Saccharomyces cerevisiae S288C: one gene and its partners. The protein of the gene in region 1 interacts with the protein of each later gene in a biochemical or structural test. Each region holds a gene or a part of one and is shown on either strand. Other genes may lie near its edges.

Evidence for each region.
Region 2: of the proteins of RFA2 (region 1) and MEC1, one has a biochemical effect on the other in vitro, tested with the Saccharomyces cerevisiae proteins (6 studies listed by BioGRID).
Region 3: the proteins of RFA2 (region 1) and RFA3 form a complex in vitro, tested with the Saccharomyces cerevisiae proteins (3 studies listed by BioGRID).

What each region holds. Positions count from the first base shown.
Region 1 is NC_001146.8:45,331-49,716, forward strand, and holds RFA2 (Rfa2p), read left to right. Parts: upstream 1-2,956; coding exon 2,957-2,963; intron 2,964-3,071; coding exon 3,072-3,886; downstream 3,887-4,386. Other genes in the region: tetratricopeptide repeat-containing protein EMW1, read right to left, coding at 1-2,692; putative SCF ubiquitin ligase complex subunit SKP2, read right to left, coding at 4,067-4,386. UniProt on the Saccharomyces cerevisiae protein: Binds to single-stranded sequences participating in DNA replication in addition to those mediating transcriptional repression (URS1) and activation (CAR1). Stimulates the activity of a cognate strand exchange protein (SEP1).
Region 2 is NC_001134.8:504,167-512,816, forward strand, and holds MEC1 (protein kinase MEC1), read left to right. Parts: upstream 1-1,501; coding exon 1,502-8,608; downstream 8,609-8,650. Other genes in the region: HSL7 (protein arginine N-methyltransferase), read right to left, coding at 1-121; cyclin-dependent protein kinase regulatory subunit CKS1, read left to right, coding at 688-1,140. UniProt on the Saccharomyces cerevisiae protein: Serine/threonine protein kinase which activates checkpoint signaling upon genotoxic stresses such as ionizing radiation (IR), ultraviolet light (UV), or DNA replication stalling, thereby acting as a DNA damage sensor.
Region 3 is NC_001142.9:94,512-98,233, reverse strand, and holds RFA3 (Rfa3p), read left to right. Parts: upstream 1-1,704; coding exon 1,705-2,073; downstream 2,074-3,722. Other genes in the region: CPS1 (Gly-Xaa carboxypeptidase), read right to left, coding at 1-497; KRE9 (Kre9p), read right to left, coding at 2,312-3,142; SWI3 (Swi3p), read left to right, coding at 3,704-3,722. UniProt on the Saccharomyces cerevisiae protein: As part of the replication protein A (RPA/RP-A), a single-stranded DNA-binding heterotrimeric complex, may play an essential role in DNA replication, recombination and repair.

The sequences.
Region 1 (4,386 bases):
CTAGCCTATCCCAACCAGGAGAGTCATCCCATCTGCCTTTGCCTTTACTCATTAGAGCTTTGATAGTAGATCTACATTTGTATTTCCAGTCTTTGCAAACCAGACTGCCTGGCCCATATTTACCTTCCATTTCACCAAGTGATTCATAGGCAGCCACCAAATCTTCACAAGCATCCACTGTATCATTCCAAACCTTTTCTTCAACTTCTAAATCAGGATTGTGAGAAATGGCCCTATAAGCCTTCTCGTGGCATTCTAGGGCGGCCCATGGTCTCTTCCTCCAAAGTTCTACTCTTGCGACCAGTCGCCAACATCTTGCACTGGTTGTAATTACCTGAGGTAAAGTGTTACAGATAAACTCAGTACAGCTCTTTTGAAAATAAGATAATTGCTGCGGCTCCTCTGGATATTCACTAGTCACTAATAGTTCTACTAGTTTTTCAATAATTGGTAAGTCGATGGAACCTTCGCCAGATTTGTCCCTCCTAATACTGACTAATTGTTTACATGCAGTTAAGACATCCTCCCACTCATTCAACTTAACAGCAACAAGCATGTAATTCTCCCAAATTTTCCAGTTCTTTTGAGCGTCACATGAAATGGCTCTTTTCAAACAACTATAAGCTTCTTTCAATTTATCCATTTTCGTATATGCAGCGCTCAAATTTGACCATGAAAGAGCATGATAAGGGTCTAATGAAACACATCTGGTAAATGCCTCCGCAGCTATCTGCATTTTACCACATTGTAATCCAACGCAACCATAAAAATACCACGTTTCAAAGCTTAATGGGTATTGCCTTAACGAGTCATTTAAATGTTTCAAGGTAGCAGAGTAATTTGGTTGTGCTCCAGACTTTGGAGGAGGATTAAAGTAATACTTTGCAAGGGAATTTTTTGCGTTGACGTATTTTCCAATCTCCCAACTTTTTTCCCATAGGGATGGATCCTGTTTTATATCACCCAAAATGGAGTAAGCCCTGGCATCCGAATCATTTTCATTTATTCTTTGAAGAAGGATTTCTTCTGCCTTTTTTTCATCTCCAACAGCGGCATAACATAATGCAGTCTCGCATGCCATACCAAGTCTTTCATAAATTTCCACAGCGGACTTCAAAATACCCAGCGACATATATTTTTCAGCTAAGGTGGCATCCAATTGCCACCTAGGGATGAACGGCAGCTGGTGGATGTATGACAGCCTGCTAGCAACATTGATTTCGCTTGAACTTGGAACCAATTTACTCTTAATCTTCAAATCCAATTCTTCTACGAGGGATTGCATTTGTAAAAGTCCTCTTTCAATAGTTTTAGCCTTTGTTGTCTCAATAATTGACCTTTCCCATAATGATCGGGCGAAAATAGACCAATTTTTGTCACCGTTTTGATATAATATTCTAGAAAGCAAAGCAGTAAGTTCTTCTTCCACAAGAGGATCCTTGGCCGGAGTTGTGTTCTTTATGGTGTAAAGACGTAACAGCAACTGGATGTTGTCGTAATCAGATAGGGTAGGTTGATCGTTAGGGTTCAAATCCAGCAACAACTTTGGAATATTTTCTTGACGTAGTGCCAATGGCAATAGTTTATCTTCTTCATAACCTTCATTTAGGTCTACCTTTTGTCTTTTACTATAAATTTGCTCGTCTAGAGGTTCATCAGCAATGGACTCAAAATGAGGCTTCTCCAATAATAGATCGGACTCTAAAGCAAATGTTTCTGGTGTAGCAGATGTCGTTCTCAAAGCAAAATTTTGAAATGTGAAGGATTTGGCAAGAATGATCAAACCGGCATGAGCCTTTTGCTGATATTTAGTTCTAGTAGCGCGTGCACCCGTCATTACAAATTCAAAATTTGTTATCTTTTTCGCTCTGGTCAAGGATGGCAGGCACAAATGTTCTGTGTTGATGGCCAATGAACATTTGACATTCTCTAGATAGTACATTGCACAAAGTTCTCTTTTGAAATCTTCGTGAATACTCTCCGGTAATTCCTTAGTTATCGCATATGCAAGGTCAGCAGACTGATATATTGCAGATGCAACACTAGCTTGGAACCCAGAAGGTTCTGGAATCAGTGACAATTGCGTCAAAAGAGCTCTTGCCCACCACCAATAAGCTACAGCTAATAATCCAGGAGTAGACTCAGCAGAGATAATAGGTAGCGGAATTTCTTGATCCGGGGTAACATCAAATAAGCTTTTTTGGCCGGTTATCCTTTCAAGTAATAATAGTGATAAAACCAAATACAATGGATCATCCATAAATTCGTAGGCAGGCTGGCCCATAATGGCTAATGAGCGGGAAAGGGCTGTATTAACTGCTCCTATTTCAATTCCAGTTTTGCCAAACAAACCTGAGATTGCTTTCAACCTAGCTGCTGGGCCGGTGTAGTTATTTTGAATAAAGGTCTGTAAGAGGGCAATAGCCAAAAATAGCATCTCATTTTCTTGGCCCATTTTGAAAACCTCAACGTTAAGAAAGTCATTTAGAGCAGCAATAACACTAGATGTGGATATTTCTCCCGAAATACTAATTTTTCCCTTAAATTTGTCCACAAATTGCTGTACTAGCTGGTATGATTCACCACTGATGATATGTTCAGCCTTTTTCACATATGTCTGGTCGAAAGAACCACTTTTCAGAGATTCTACTTCTGCAGACAGCAATAATTTTGCATGCAATAACGTCTCCATAATTTTGCAACCACTAGTTTACTTTTTGCCTGGTCTGATAGCTTCTTTTTAGCAATTCCTTTGGCCTCGATGAGCTTCCATTTTCAATTTTCATCTTTTTTTTCACGATGCGAAGTTTCTTAGATAATTATCGCCATATACGAAACGCGTTAGGAAACGCGTTCTTTCCTTTATAATAAGCAATATTATATCAACTTAAGGTGGAAGTAATGTGGCAAAATCGATAGCGACTATCTAGAACAGGCTAGTTTAAGCATATACATAATGGCAAGTATGTATTAGTGCTAGGAATTGGAGGATTTGCTCTTTTCTGCATCATTTTTTTTATTTTTATTGGCGAATGTTAAAATTACTAACAATGGATGGGATTCCAATACAGCCTATCAACCATATAACGAATATTCATCAGTAACGGGCGGTGGCTTTGAGAACTCTGAGTCCCGCCCAGGTAGTGGGGAGTCGGAAACTAACACTAGAGTTAACACCTTGACACCTGTGACGATCAAACAAATTCTAGAGTCCAAACAGGATATTCAGGACGGCCCCTTCGTTTCGCATAACCAAGAACTTCATCACGTTTGTTTTGTAGGTGTGGTGAGAAACATTACAGACCATACTGCAAATATTTTTTTAACTATTGAGGATGGAACTGGTCAAATAGAAGTGAGAAAATGGAGCGAAGATGCAAATGACTTGGCTGCCGGTAACGATGACTCTTCTGGTAAAGGTTATGGTTCGCAAGTCGCCCAACAATTTGAAATTGGCGGTTACGTAAAAGTTTTTGGTGCTTTGAAAGAGTTTGGTGGTAAGAAAAATATACAGTATGCGGTGATTAAGCCCATAGATTCATTCAATGAAGTGTTGACGCATCACTTGGAAGTCATCAAATGTCATTCCATAGCCAGTGGAATGATGAAACAACCTTTGGAGAGTGCATCCAACAACAATGGGCAATCATTATTTGTCAAGGATGATAACGATACATCTTCCGGCTCCAGTCCGTTACAAAGAATTCTAGAATTTTGTAAGAAGCAATGTGAGGGCAAAGACGCTAATTCATTCGCTGTTCCCATTCCATTGATCTCGCAATCCTTGAATTTGGATGAAACTACCGTCAGAAACTGCTGTACGACCTTGACTGACCAGGGTTTTATCTACCCAACTTTTGATGACAATAACTTCTTTGCCCTATGAAAATATATAGATTATTTTTTTAGCATTTCTTAGTATTCGTTTGTGTATTTCTACTAGGTAAGTACCAAAATTTGCCGGAAATAGAGTGGAAAATGGAACCCGTTCCAAGAAGGGGTAAGATGCATGAATATTAAGTTGGTTGCATAAATATGCTATATAAAGTCCACTACAAAAAGTCATTTATTTTTGCCCGTAAGAATAAAGAACGAATCCGTCCTTATCTCTGACTTCAATGGGAACATTTACACGCAGTACGGGCTTCAATAATAGTTCCCAGTCGTATCTGGTTCTAGGTGTACATAATGAAAAATGTCTCAGCATTCTTATTTTGACAGCTTTGAATTTTGACAAATTTCTCAGGAAACACCAGAGGTTAATATTTGGAATATCTTTAAAATTCTCTGGATCTTGGAAATCATTGAAAAAATTTTCCAATGTCACATTTTGTAAGAACTCCTCCACATCTAAATCTCTATATTCGATGGTTCGGTTCTTCAATT
Region 2 (8,650 bases), on another chromosome or scaffold:
AATCATAGTTACTAGGCAGTTCTGGTGAATGACTAGAGACATTTTCTAGGAAACGTGACTTTTTGCTGTGCTGTTTATGATTAAAGCCTGGTTTGACACCAACAAATACGTTGCTATGCATATGCAAACTGAACCCTTTGTATATATAAAAATTATATGTATAAAAGAAGAGGAACGTCCGCACAATTCCACACACACACACACACACACGCTTTCACACACGCAATTTGAAATAGCTCCTATAGGGCTTGGGAATAGGATCACAAGTCACTCGAAATATACCATTTTTTCTATCACACATACACATTGTATAAAGCCATTTGTTTCAAAAAAATATAAAAACACTGCGCAGCGTGCTGTTTCGGGTTCCATTTGTGATTGTTTATTTTTCTTTTGGTTTAGCTCAGTGCAAAACGAGGGCTCGAAGAATTTTCAGATAAAACAGTACTCGAGCCCTGAGATCTGTTTTAGGGTCTAAAAGGCGGGTTATAAAAATATGTCAGGTGATTTTTTTTTCTCGTGGTATGAGATAAATAAAGAATGGAGCTTTTATGCATGAAAGGACAGCGGATGGCAGTAGAGCAGACATCAGTAGCATTCATTACAACTCTGTCGTAAGTTCTTGGAACTGCTGGCCGCGTTGGATACAACTAGATTGACACGCACTTACTCTCGTCTTACAGTACTATGTACCATCACTATCACGCCTTCCAAGGCAGAAAGCTTACTGACCAAGAAAGAGCACGCGTGTTGGAGTTTCAAGATTCCATTCACTATTCTCCGCGGTACTCAGACGATAACTATGAGTACAGGCATGTGATGTTACCTAAGGCCATGCTAAAAGTTATCCCATCTGATTACTTCAATTCGGAAGTGGGGACCCTGCGTATATTAACAGAAGACGAATGGAGAGGCCTCGGCATCACACAGTCTTTGGGGTGGGAACATTATGAATGCCATGCGCCAGAACCACACATTTTGCTATTCAAAAGGCCGCTGAACTACGAGGCCGAGCTGAGGGCAGCGACCGCTGCTGCTCAACAGCAACAGCAACAGCAGCAACAGCAGCAACAACAACAACAGCAACATCAAACACAATCGATTTCGAACGATATGCAAGTTCCACCCCAAATCTCCTAGCTTTGATATACTCTAATTACTGAAATTGAATTCCTTTTCAAGGCTCCATAACTATATGGAGCATACTATGTACTTATCATAATAAAGAATAAACAAACAAGCAAACAAAAAAAAAAAAAACTATGGATCATAGTTTTCACCAACAAGCATTAGAATACAAATAAAATTTATATAGTGAATATCCTTCAAATAAATTTCTTCTTTCCCTTATAAATCAAATAGATGGAACGCACGCTCCAAAACTAGTCAACTAGAAAAAAATACCCGCCGACGGACAATTTTGAAGAGAGATGATTAATGAAGACAAAGTGAGGCTGGACAACAAGAACGACATACACCGCGTAAAGGCCCACAAGACTGCATGGAATCACACGTCAAATATCTTGACGAATTGATATTGGCAATAAAAGACCTGAACTCGGGGGTGGATTCAAAGGTGCAGATTAAAAAAGTGCCCACGGATCCATCTTCTTCTCAGGAGTACGCCAAGAGTTTAAAGATCCTGAACACCCTCATAAGAAACCTAAAAGATCAAAGAAGGAACAATATCATGAAAAATGATACTATATTTTCGAAAACAGTTTCCGCCCTTGCCTTATTGTTGGAGTACAACCCCTTCTTGCTTGTTATGAAGGATTCCAACGGGAACTTTGAGATACAAAGGCTGATAGATGATTTCCTCAACATATCCGTTCTGAACTATGATAATTACCACAGAATATGGTTTATGAGGCGAAAATTAGGCAGCTGGTGCAAAGCATGTGTCGAATTTTACGGAAAACCTGCTAAGTTTCAGCTTACTGCACATTTTGAGAACACCATGAATCTTTACGAACAGGCCTTGACTGAAGTCTTGTTGGGCAAGACTGAGCTTCTCAAATTTTATGACACCTTGAAGGGTCTATACATTCTTTTATACTGGTTCACTTCGGAGTATAGTACTTTTGGGAACTCTATAGCATTCTTAGATTCTTCTTTGGGGTTCACGAAATTTGACTTTAACTTCCAACGATTAATCAGGATTGTTCTTTACGTCTTTGATTCCTGCGAACTAGCAGCACTAGAATATGCCGAAATCCAACTCAAATATATTTCTCTAGTTGTGGACTATGTTTGCAATAGAACAATTTCCACAGCCCTGGATGCCCCAGCGTTAGTTTGTTGTGAACAATTAAAGTTTGTATTGACTACTATGCATCATTTTTTGGATAACAAGTATGGGCTCTTGGATAATGACCCCACTATGGCCAAAGGAATTCTTCGACTATATTCTCTTTGCATTTCTAACGATTTCTCAAAATGCTTTGTAGACCACTTCCCAATTGACCAGTGGGCAGATTTTTCACAAAGTGAACATTTTCCGTTCACGCAGTTGACTAATAAAGCTCTCTCGATTGTATATTTTGATTTGAAAAGAAGGTCCCTACCTGTTGAAGCTTTAAAGTACGATAATAAGTTCAACATCTGGGTATACCAATCGGAGCCGGACTCGAGCTTGAAAAATGTCACTTCTCCCTTTGATGATCGATATAAGCAGCTGGAAAAGCTAAGGTTGCTAGTACTAAAGAAGTTTAACAAGACAGAAAGAGGAACTTTGCTCAAATACCGCGTGAACCAGCTAAGTCCTGGATTTTTTCAAAGAGCTGGAAACGATTTCAAGCTAATTTTAAATGAAGCATCTGTATCCATTCAAACTTGTTTCAAGACAAACAATATAACAAGGCTAACATCATGGACTGTAATTCTCGGACGTCTAGCCTGTCTAGAATCAGAGAAGTTTTCCGGCACTCTGCCAAATTCCACAAAGGATATGGATAATTGGTATGTTTGTCATTTATGCGATATTGAGAAAACTGGCAACCCTTTCGTGCGAATAAATCCAAATAGACCAGAGGCTGCGGGTAAATCAGAAATCTTCAGGATACTTCATTCAAACTTTCTATCTCACCCAAATATAGATGAATTTAGCGAATCTTTGTTAAGTGGCATCTTATTTTCTCTACATAGGATATTTTCACACTTTCAACCTCCAAAACTTACAGATGGAAACGGTCAAATCAATAAGAGCTTTAAACTGGTACAAAAGTGCTTTATGAATTCTAACAGATACCTACGTTTATTAAGTACTAGAATTATACCTTTATTCAATATATCAGACTCTCATAATTCCGAAGATGAACACACTGCCACGCTGATAAAGTTTCTACAATCTCAAAAATTGCCAGTGGTGAAAGAAAATTTAGTCATTGCTTGGACACAATTAACATTGACGACTTCTAATGATGTATTTGATACACTACTTTTGAAACTGATTGATATTTTCAATTCTGATGATTATAGTTTACGAATAATGATGACTTTGCAAATTAAAAATATGGCCAAAATTTTAAAGAAAACACCATATCAATTACTATCGCCTATTTTACCTGTATTACTAAGACAGTTGGGAAAAAACCTCGTGGAAAGAAAAGTTGGCTTTCAAAATTTAATAGAATTATTGGGATATTCTTCAAAAACAATTCTCGATATTTTCCAGAGATATATCATCCCTTATGCAATTATTCAATATAAGAGCGATGTGCTAAGTGAAATTGCTAAGATTATGTGTGATGGCGATACAAGTTTAATTAACCAAATGAAGGTTAATTTACTGAAAAAAAACAGTAGGCAAATATTTGCCGTAGCTTTGGTAAAACACGGATTATTTTCTTTGGATATCTTGGAAACCCTTTTTTTAAATAGGGCTCCAACTTTTGACAAAGGATATATAACTGCATACCTTCCCGATTATAAAACTTTAGCTGAAATAACGAAGCTCTACAAAAACAGCGTTACTAAAGATGCAAGTGACAGCGAGAATGCTAATATGATTTTATGCTCTTTGCGATTTTTAATCACCAATTTTGAAAAAGACAAAAGGCATGGTTCGAAGTACAAAAATATCAATAACTGGACGGATGATCAGGAACAAGCGTTCCAAAAGAAACTACAGGATAATATCTTAGGTATTTTCCAAGTTTTTTCGAGTGACATACATGATGTTGAAGGCCGCACCACTTACTACGAAAAGTTAAGGGTTATCAATGGCATTTCTTTTCTTATCATATATGCCCCCAAAAAATCAATAATTTCCGCATTAGCCCAGATTAGTATTTGTTTGCAAACAGGACTTGGGCTTAAGGAAGTTCGATACGAGGCCTTTAGATGTTGGCATCTGTTAGTTCGCCATCTAAATGATGAAGAACTCTCTACTGTTATAGATAGCTTAATTGCATTCATACTTCAAAAGTGGTCTGAGTTCAACGGAAAACTTCGAAATATAGTGTACAGTATACTGGATACCTTAATCAAAGAGAAATCGGACCTGATTTTGAAATTAAAACCTTACACTACTTTGGCTTTAGTAGGCAAGCCTGAATTAGGTATTTTAGCTCGTGATGGCCAATTTGCAAGAATGGTGAATAAAATAAGAAGTACCACGGACCTTATACCCATATTTGCTAATAACTTGAAAAGTAGTAACAAGTATGTCATAAACCAAAATTTAGACGATATAGAGGTATATCTTCGGAGAAAGCAGACAGAAAGATCGATTGATTTTACACCAAAGAAGGTTGGGCAAACTTCTGATATAACATTAGTTTTGGGTGCTTTATTAGACACTTCTCATAAGTTTAGAAATTTAGACAAGGACCTATGCGAGAAGTGCGCCAAATGTATCAGTATGATTGGTGTTTTAGACGTTACAAAGCATGAGTTTAAAAGAACAACATATTCAGAAAACGAAGTTTATGATTTGAATGATAGTGTTCAAACTATTAAGTTCTTGATATGGGTCATAAATGATATCCTCGTTCCTGCGTTTTGGCAAAGTGAGAATCCCAGCAAGCAATTGTTTGTTGCCCTTGTCATACAGGAATCATTAAAATATTGCGGGCTAAGTTCAGAGTCATGGGATATGAACCATAAAGAATTATATCCAAATGAAGCCAAACTATGGGAAAAGTTTAACTCTGTCTCCAAGACAACCATCTATCCGCTTTTATCTTCCTTGTATCTTGCGCAATCATGGAAAGAATATGTCCCGCTAAAATATCCTTCTAATAACTTCAAGGAAGGATACAAAATTTGGGTGAAAAGGTTTACATTGGATTTATTGAAAACAGGTACAACAGAAAATCATCCATTACACGTGTTTTCCTCTTTGATTAGGGAAGATGATGGCTCACTATCAAATTTTTTGCTACCTTATATTTCTCTGGACATTATTATCAAGGCAGAAAAAGGAACTCCATACGCTGATATTTTAAACGGGATTATTATTGAATTTGACAGCATTTTCACGTGCAATCTGGAAGGAATGAATAACTTGCAAGTGGATTCGTTAAGAATGTGCTATGAATCCATCTTCAGAGTTTTCGAATATTGCAAAAAATGGGCAACTGAGTTTAAACAAAATTACAGTAAACTACACGGCACTTTTATCATTAAAGATACGAAAACAACTAACATGCTTTTGAGAATAGATGAGTTTTTGCGAACAACCCCTTCAGATTTGCTAGCTCAACGCTCCTTAGAGACGGATTCTTTTGAAAGGTCTGCTCTATACCTTGAACAGTGCTATCGACAGAATCCTCACGATAAGAACCAAAATGGACAACTACTGAAAAATTTACAAATCACATACGAAGAAATAGGAGACATTGACTCACTCGATGGTGTACTGAGAACCTTTGCTACAGGAAACTTGGTTTCTAAAATTGAAGAATTGCAATATTCTGAAAACTGGAAACTCGCACAAGACTGCTTTAATGTCCTCGGCAAATTTTCAGATGACCCCAAAACTACAACCAGGATGCTAAAGTCTATGTATGACCACCAATTGTATTCTCAAATAATATCGAACTCTTCGTTCCATTCTTCAGACGGAAAAATTTCTTTGTCTCCAGATGTGAAGGAATGGTACAGCATAGGTCTTGAAGCTGCAAATCTAGAAGGCAATGTTCAAACTTTGAAAAATTGGGTAGAACAAATAGAGAGTTTAAGAAATATTGACGATAGAGAAGTACTTTTGCAGTACAATATTGCGAAAGCTTTAATTGCCATCTCAAACGAGGATCCATTAAGGACTCAAAAATACATCCACAATTCCTTTAGGCTTATCGGAACAAATTTTATAACGTCATCTAAAGAGACGACGCTGCTAAAGAAACAGAATTTATTGATGAAATTACACAGTTTATATGACCTCAGTTTTTTATCTTCTGCGAAAGATAAGTTTGAATACAAAAGTAACACTACCATACTCGATTATCGAATGGAACGTATTGGGGCTGACTTCGTGCCAAATCATTACATATTGTCAATGAGAAAGTCATTTGACCAATTGAAAATGAATGAACAAGCAGACGCTGACTTAGGAAAAACATTCTTCACTTTAGCCCAATTGGCGAGAAACAACGCTAGGCTAGATATAGCCTCCGAATCATTAATGCATTGTTTGGAAAGGCGGTTGCCTCAGGCAGAGTTGGAGTTTGCTGAAATACTATGGAAGCAAGGTGAGAATGATAGAGCCTTAAAGATAGTGCAAGAAATACATGAAAAGTATCAAGAAAATTCCTCGGTTAATGCTCGCGATCGTGCCGCCGTGCTATTAAAGTTTACTGAATGGTTAGACCTTTCGAACAATTCAGCGTCCGAACAAATTATTAAACAATATCAGGATATTTTTCAGATTGATTCTAAATGGGATAAACCATATTACTCTATTGGCTTATACTATAGTAGACTACTTGAGCGCAAAAAAGCAGAGGGTTATATTACTAATGGTCGTTTTGAGTACAGGGCAATATCTTACTTTTTATTGGCATTTGAAAAGAACACTGCTAAAGTAAGAGAAAATTTGCCCAAAGTTATCACGTTTTGGCTAGATATTGCGGCCGCATCAATTTCTGAAGCTCCTGGAAACAGAAAGGAAATGCTGAGTAAGGCTACGGAAGATATATGTAGTCATGTTGAAGAAGCGCTGCAGCATTGTCCCACTTATATTTGGTACTTTGTTTTGACTCAGTTGTTATCTAGGTTATTACATTCTCATCAATCATCGGCCCAGATAATAATGCACATACTGCTAAGTTTGGCTGTTGAATACCCCTCTCATATTTTATGGTATATCACAGCCCTTGTAAATTCCAATTCTTCAAAAAGAGTTCTTCGTGGTAAGCATATTTTAGAAAAGTATAGACAACATTCGCAAAATCCTCATGATCTAGTTTCTAGTGCATTGGATTTAACGAAAGCATTAACTCGTGTCTGTTTGCAAGATGTCAAAAGCATTACAAGTAGATCAGGCAAATCTTTAGAAAAAGACTTCAAATTTGACATGAACGTGGCCCCATCTGCAATGGTTGTTCCAGTAAGAAAAAATTTAGACATCATTTCACCACTAGAGTCTAACTCAATGAGGGGCTATCAACCATTTAGGCCGGTTGTTTCTATAATTAGATTCGGATCATCTTATAAAGTGTTTTCTTCATTAAAGAAGCCAAAACAATTGAACATAATAGGTTCAGATGGCAACATTTATGGGATCATGTGTAAGAAGGAAGATGTCCGACAAGATAACCAATATATGCAGTTCGCCACAACAATGGATTTTCTTCTGAGTAAGGACATAGCTTCAAGAAAAAGAAGCCTGGGCATAAATATTTACTCCGTACTATCTCTTCGAGAAGACTGTGGGATATTGGAAATGGTACCGAATGTTGTAACTTTAAGATCTATTCTTTCTACAAAGTACGAAAGTCTGAAAATTAAGTATAGCCTGAAAAGTCTACATGATAGGTGGCAGCACACCGCAGTAGATGGAAAACTCGAGTTTTACATGGAACAGGTAGATAAATTTCCTCCAATCTTGTACCAATGGTTTTTAGAAAACTTTCCTGATCCAATCAATTGGTTCAACGCCAGGAATACGTATGCCAGATCTTACGCCGTCATGGCAATGGTTGGCCATATATTAGGTCTAGGTGATAGGCACTGTGAAAACATATTACTAGATATACAGACGGGTAAAGTTCTTCATGTAGACTTCGACTGTTTATTTGAGAAAGGCAAAAGGTTACCTGTCCCAGAAATTGTTCCCTTCAGACTAACACCAAATTTATTGGATGCGTTGGGCATAATTGGGACAGAAGGAACATTTAAGAAGTCTAGTGAAGTCACGTTGGCTTTAATGAGAAAAAATGAAGTAGCGTTGATGAATGTGATCGAAACAATTATGTACGATAGAAACATGGACCACTCAATTCAAAAAGCGCTAAAGGTCTTAAGAAACAAAATCCGCGGTATAGATCCGCAGGATGGCCTGGTATTGAGTGTTGCTGGCCAAACAGAAACATTGATCCAAGAAGCAACATCAGAAGACAATCTAAGCAAGATGTATATTGGTTGGCTTCCATTTTGGTAACGACTTTCCACCATTTTCGGCAACAGACGAACTTCCTCTTGA
Region 3 (3,722 bases), on another chromosome or scaffold:
ATTAACAATAATGGTTTTAGATCAGGATCAGAACCTTCCCATGTGTATAGAAGACCCAGCTCATTGACTTTCTCCAATTTCAAATGCTTGTGAATATTAGGGAAAGTCTTCTCAAAATAGTCGTGTAGTTCATAAAAATGCTTATAGAAATCCGGATCATCTGCGGGGTTGGGGTTTTTGTCTTGGACTACAGTGGGGATTCTAACAGCATTGGACAGTTTCTCAATGGAGCTGTTTCTAAAGGCAGGGTCATGAAGAATTGTGTCGACGGAATGTTTGAATGATGGACTTAATGGTTCAATCTTCTCACATTTGGGTGAGTGCATGGGACCTTTTCCATGGTGTGGACGCTTTGCCTCATGAGGTGGTGCTGGGTGGAGACCCGAAGTGAGGAAGAAGGTGCCGATGATAATAAGGGCAACTATTCCACTAATAAAGGCTCTGTGCCTTTGCCATAGGGACTTTCTAGGGGCCTTCTCTACTGGTAAGGCGATCATAATGTAATTGTTAGATGAATGATTCCTTAATGTGATGATGCAGGATTAGTTTTACAATGGGAAGAGACGTATTTGGGGTACCCGTTTCTTTTATATGTCATAAACTTTCTTGCCCGACCTTGGAAGGCTGTATCGTATTTTGCCCAAAGGGGAAAATAAAAGGCCGCTATGATAAGATAAGGGTGGCGAGGCTGAGATAACAAGAAGATGTTCTGAGCATTGAGCATTTAGGATAACAGTGCACAAGATCACGCGGTTCAATTCGTCACGTAAAGCTACTAGAAGTGGGTGTTTCTAGTAGCCTGCAAAAAGCGTCGTTCTAAAGAAACTTTTTTCAATGACACATTTACTGAAAATAGAAAAAGACTATCTATTCGTAGCTGATTTTCAAAATCCGTATGGGAAATCAGAGGTTATGGAACTGACAACGTCGTAGGAACAAGCGATATGCAAATCCCGGTGTCGCTTTGTTTGTGTATCGCTAAAAGCTTATATGCAATACTCGCGAAGGTACTATAATCCCTTGGACTAGGTCATCCCAATTCTTTGTCTTTATCAGTAAACTCTTATCTTACCTTTGGTCTCAAACTGGTATTTTATTTGCTGAATATTAACTACCACTAGGGATTACTCGTAAAATTATGAAAAAAGTACCATATGAACTCCAATAACGGTAAGTGATCAATAGGGAACAGCAAGTCTCTTCTTCTTTGCAACGTCAAGATTGATCCTATGCTTTCATAATTTCCCTACATGATGGCAGTCATACTCCAATTAAGTGCTACAAGAAAGAGGCCTTCGCAACAACTGTGTCAACGCTTGCAAGTGCTAAATTGTACTACAGCACCAGTGGTATCTCCTATAGTCAGTTACATAGTAAAATATTCAGAGGTCCATTACATAAATATATATATATATGTAGAGGCATCCATCCATGTTTGTCGATGCAGCTGCAAGCACCCAACAAGAACAGATGACAGCCAACAGTCGTTGACTAACGTAATGGGCCACTGCTGAGAAGCATCCACCGCCCATGCCATGGTTGGAATCATGACAAGTCGCCCTATATAATGCCTTCGTTCTTTAATATTGACGCGCCAAATGTGGCAATACGCGATATTTTTTTCGTTCGTGTTTAAATAAAGAGCAATATAACACACCCTTCACCATTCTTGTAGAACATCGTCTACCAGTAACACAAGTAAAAATGGCCAGCGAAACACCAAGAGTTGACCCCACAGAAATCTCCAACGTCAATGCTCCTGTGTTTAGGATAATAGCGCAAATCAAATCACAACCCACTGAATCTCAGTTGATTTTACAATCGCCAACCATATCATCGAAAAACGGCAGCGAGGTTGAAATGATTACGTTGAACAATATTCGTGTATCTATGAATAAAACATTTGAGATCGACTCGTGGTATGAGTTTGTTTGCAGGAACAATGATGACGGCGAGCTAGGATTTTTGATTCTAGACGCTGTACTATGCAAATTCAAGGAGAACGAAGATTTAAGCTTAAACGGTGTGGTTGCTTTACAGAGACTATGTAAGAAATACCCAGAAATATACTAGCTAAAATCGCTTTTATTCTTACCTTTATGTACTGTTGCCTCTATATGTCTTCCCTTCATATAATAAATTCCATTTCTAAAAAAATTGTAGTTGTGTTTATAGATGTATAGATAGATAAATGAATGTGTACTTGCTGCCTTAACGCCTTCCGCTAAAAACTTTTTGATATTTATTTTATTTTTAACCTTTCCTGACTTCAACCCTTACTGTAATGATGATAGTAGAAGCCGTCTATTTTTCATACTTTTCTCATGTTGATTTTCCTTGCAGACAAAGACAATCTCTTGGATGGTTTGTACCAACCACCATTATCTGAAGGCATAGATGCAGGAGTAGCGTAGTTTACTCCCGATGATATCGTATAAGACCAGCCAGGAGTTATCGTAGTTGCTTGCTCTGGCAATGACCCAAAGGTAGAGTAATATGTCACAGCACTAGTGGCAAATTTCCTTGTCCATGTGGTAGCGGTCACTTTAGTATTTGGCTGCATTTGCATTGGAGCGAAACGCGACGTACCAGTCTGCTTGGTGTACGGAACAGTAAATGAACGACTGTCAATAGTAGTGGCTTGGGCGTTGTTTGTAGTGGTTGTTTGAATAGAAGTCTGGGGAGTAGGTTCAGTTGTGGCACTATATGTATAAGCCGTAACACCGCCCATGGAAGTCAACTGGAATCTTGGTGTATAATGGATAGTGTAACCTTGACCGTCCACCTGGGCAAAAACTTGAATGTAATATTGACCGTTCCCAGTTAAGGTCGAAGCAAACTCAGCTGTGTAAGAGTAAACTTTATCATCTTGTGTTAGCTCACTTGGAGTAATTTTACTGGCAAGTACGGCCACACAGTCAATGTTGTTATTAGGACCAGTACAAAGACTGAACGTGAAAGTTGAAATCTTGCTTAACGAGGGATATGCCCCATTATCCATCCATTCAACGGGAACAGAGACAGTACCACCACTTGGACTGAATGTTGCCTTGGAGCTGGGGGAAACAATATTCACATCTCCCAGCACAAATGAGACTAAAAACACCAAAGCACATATGATGGAATTTCTTTGTAAACGCATTATCTATAATATGTCACAGTTGCTGATTCTCTGAGAAGGAAGTAAAAAGCGAAAGAGTAGATTCCTAGTAATCAAAACAAAGTGTGAACTGCCACTTTTAGCGCTTCTTGGAACTATCAAACTGGAGCAAATCTGGCTTCAAGAATGCTTTGAGACTCCTGTTCTATTCCTGTATTATCCTTGAAGATCTTTTTCGAGGAAAAAAAAAAAGAAATGTAAATAAAACACCTAATCGTCAAAAGTGATATTATATTGAACCGCCGTGGTTACGATGGAATAATGGTCAATACGCAGTTTAGATGGCATCCAACAATTCAGGATGGCCAATGATGTTATTTTAGTTTGAATTGATTACTTTTGAGCTAGTTTAAATTCGATTTAAGAGCCATTAAGTAGGCATCACGAATAACGAGGCCGGACGTTTGGCGTTTAGGCCATTGGCGAAAAGACGAAAACAAACTATATCAGATACGCAAGAGGAATGTGTAAAGGCCATGCAAGGCGCGATATATTGGTACATCGAGGCGCGTTCAGAGACCAATTGTGATACGGTTTGCAAGCATGGAGAATACACTGGGTG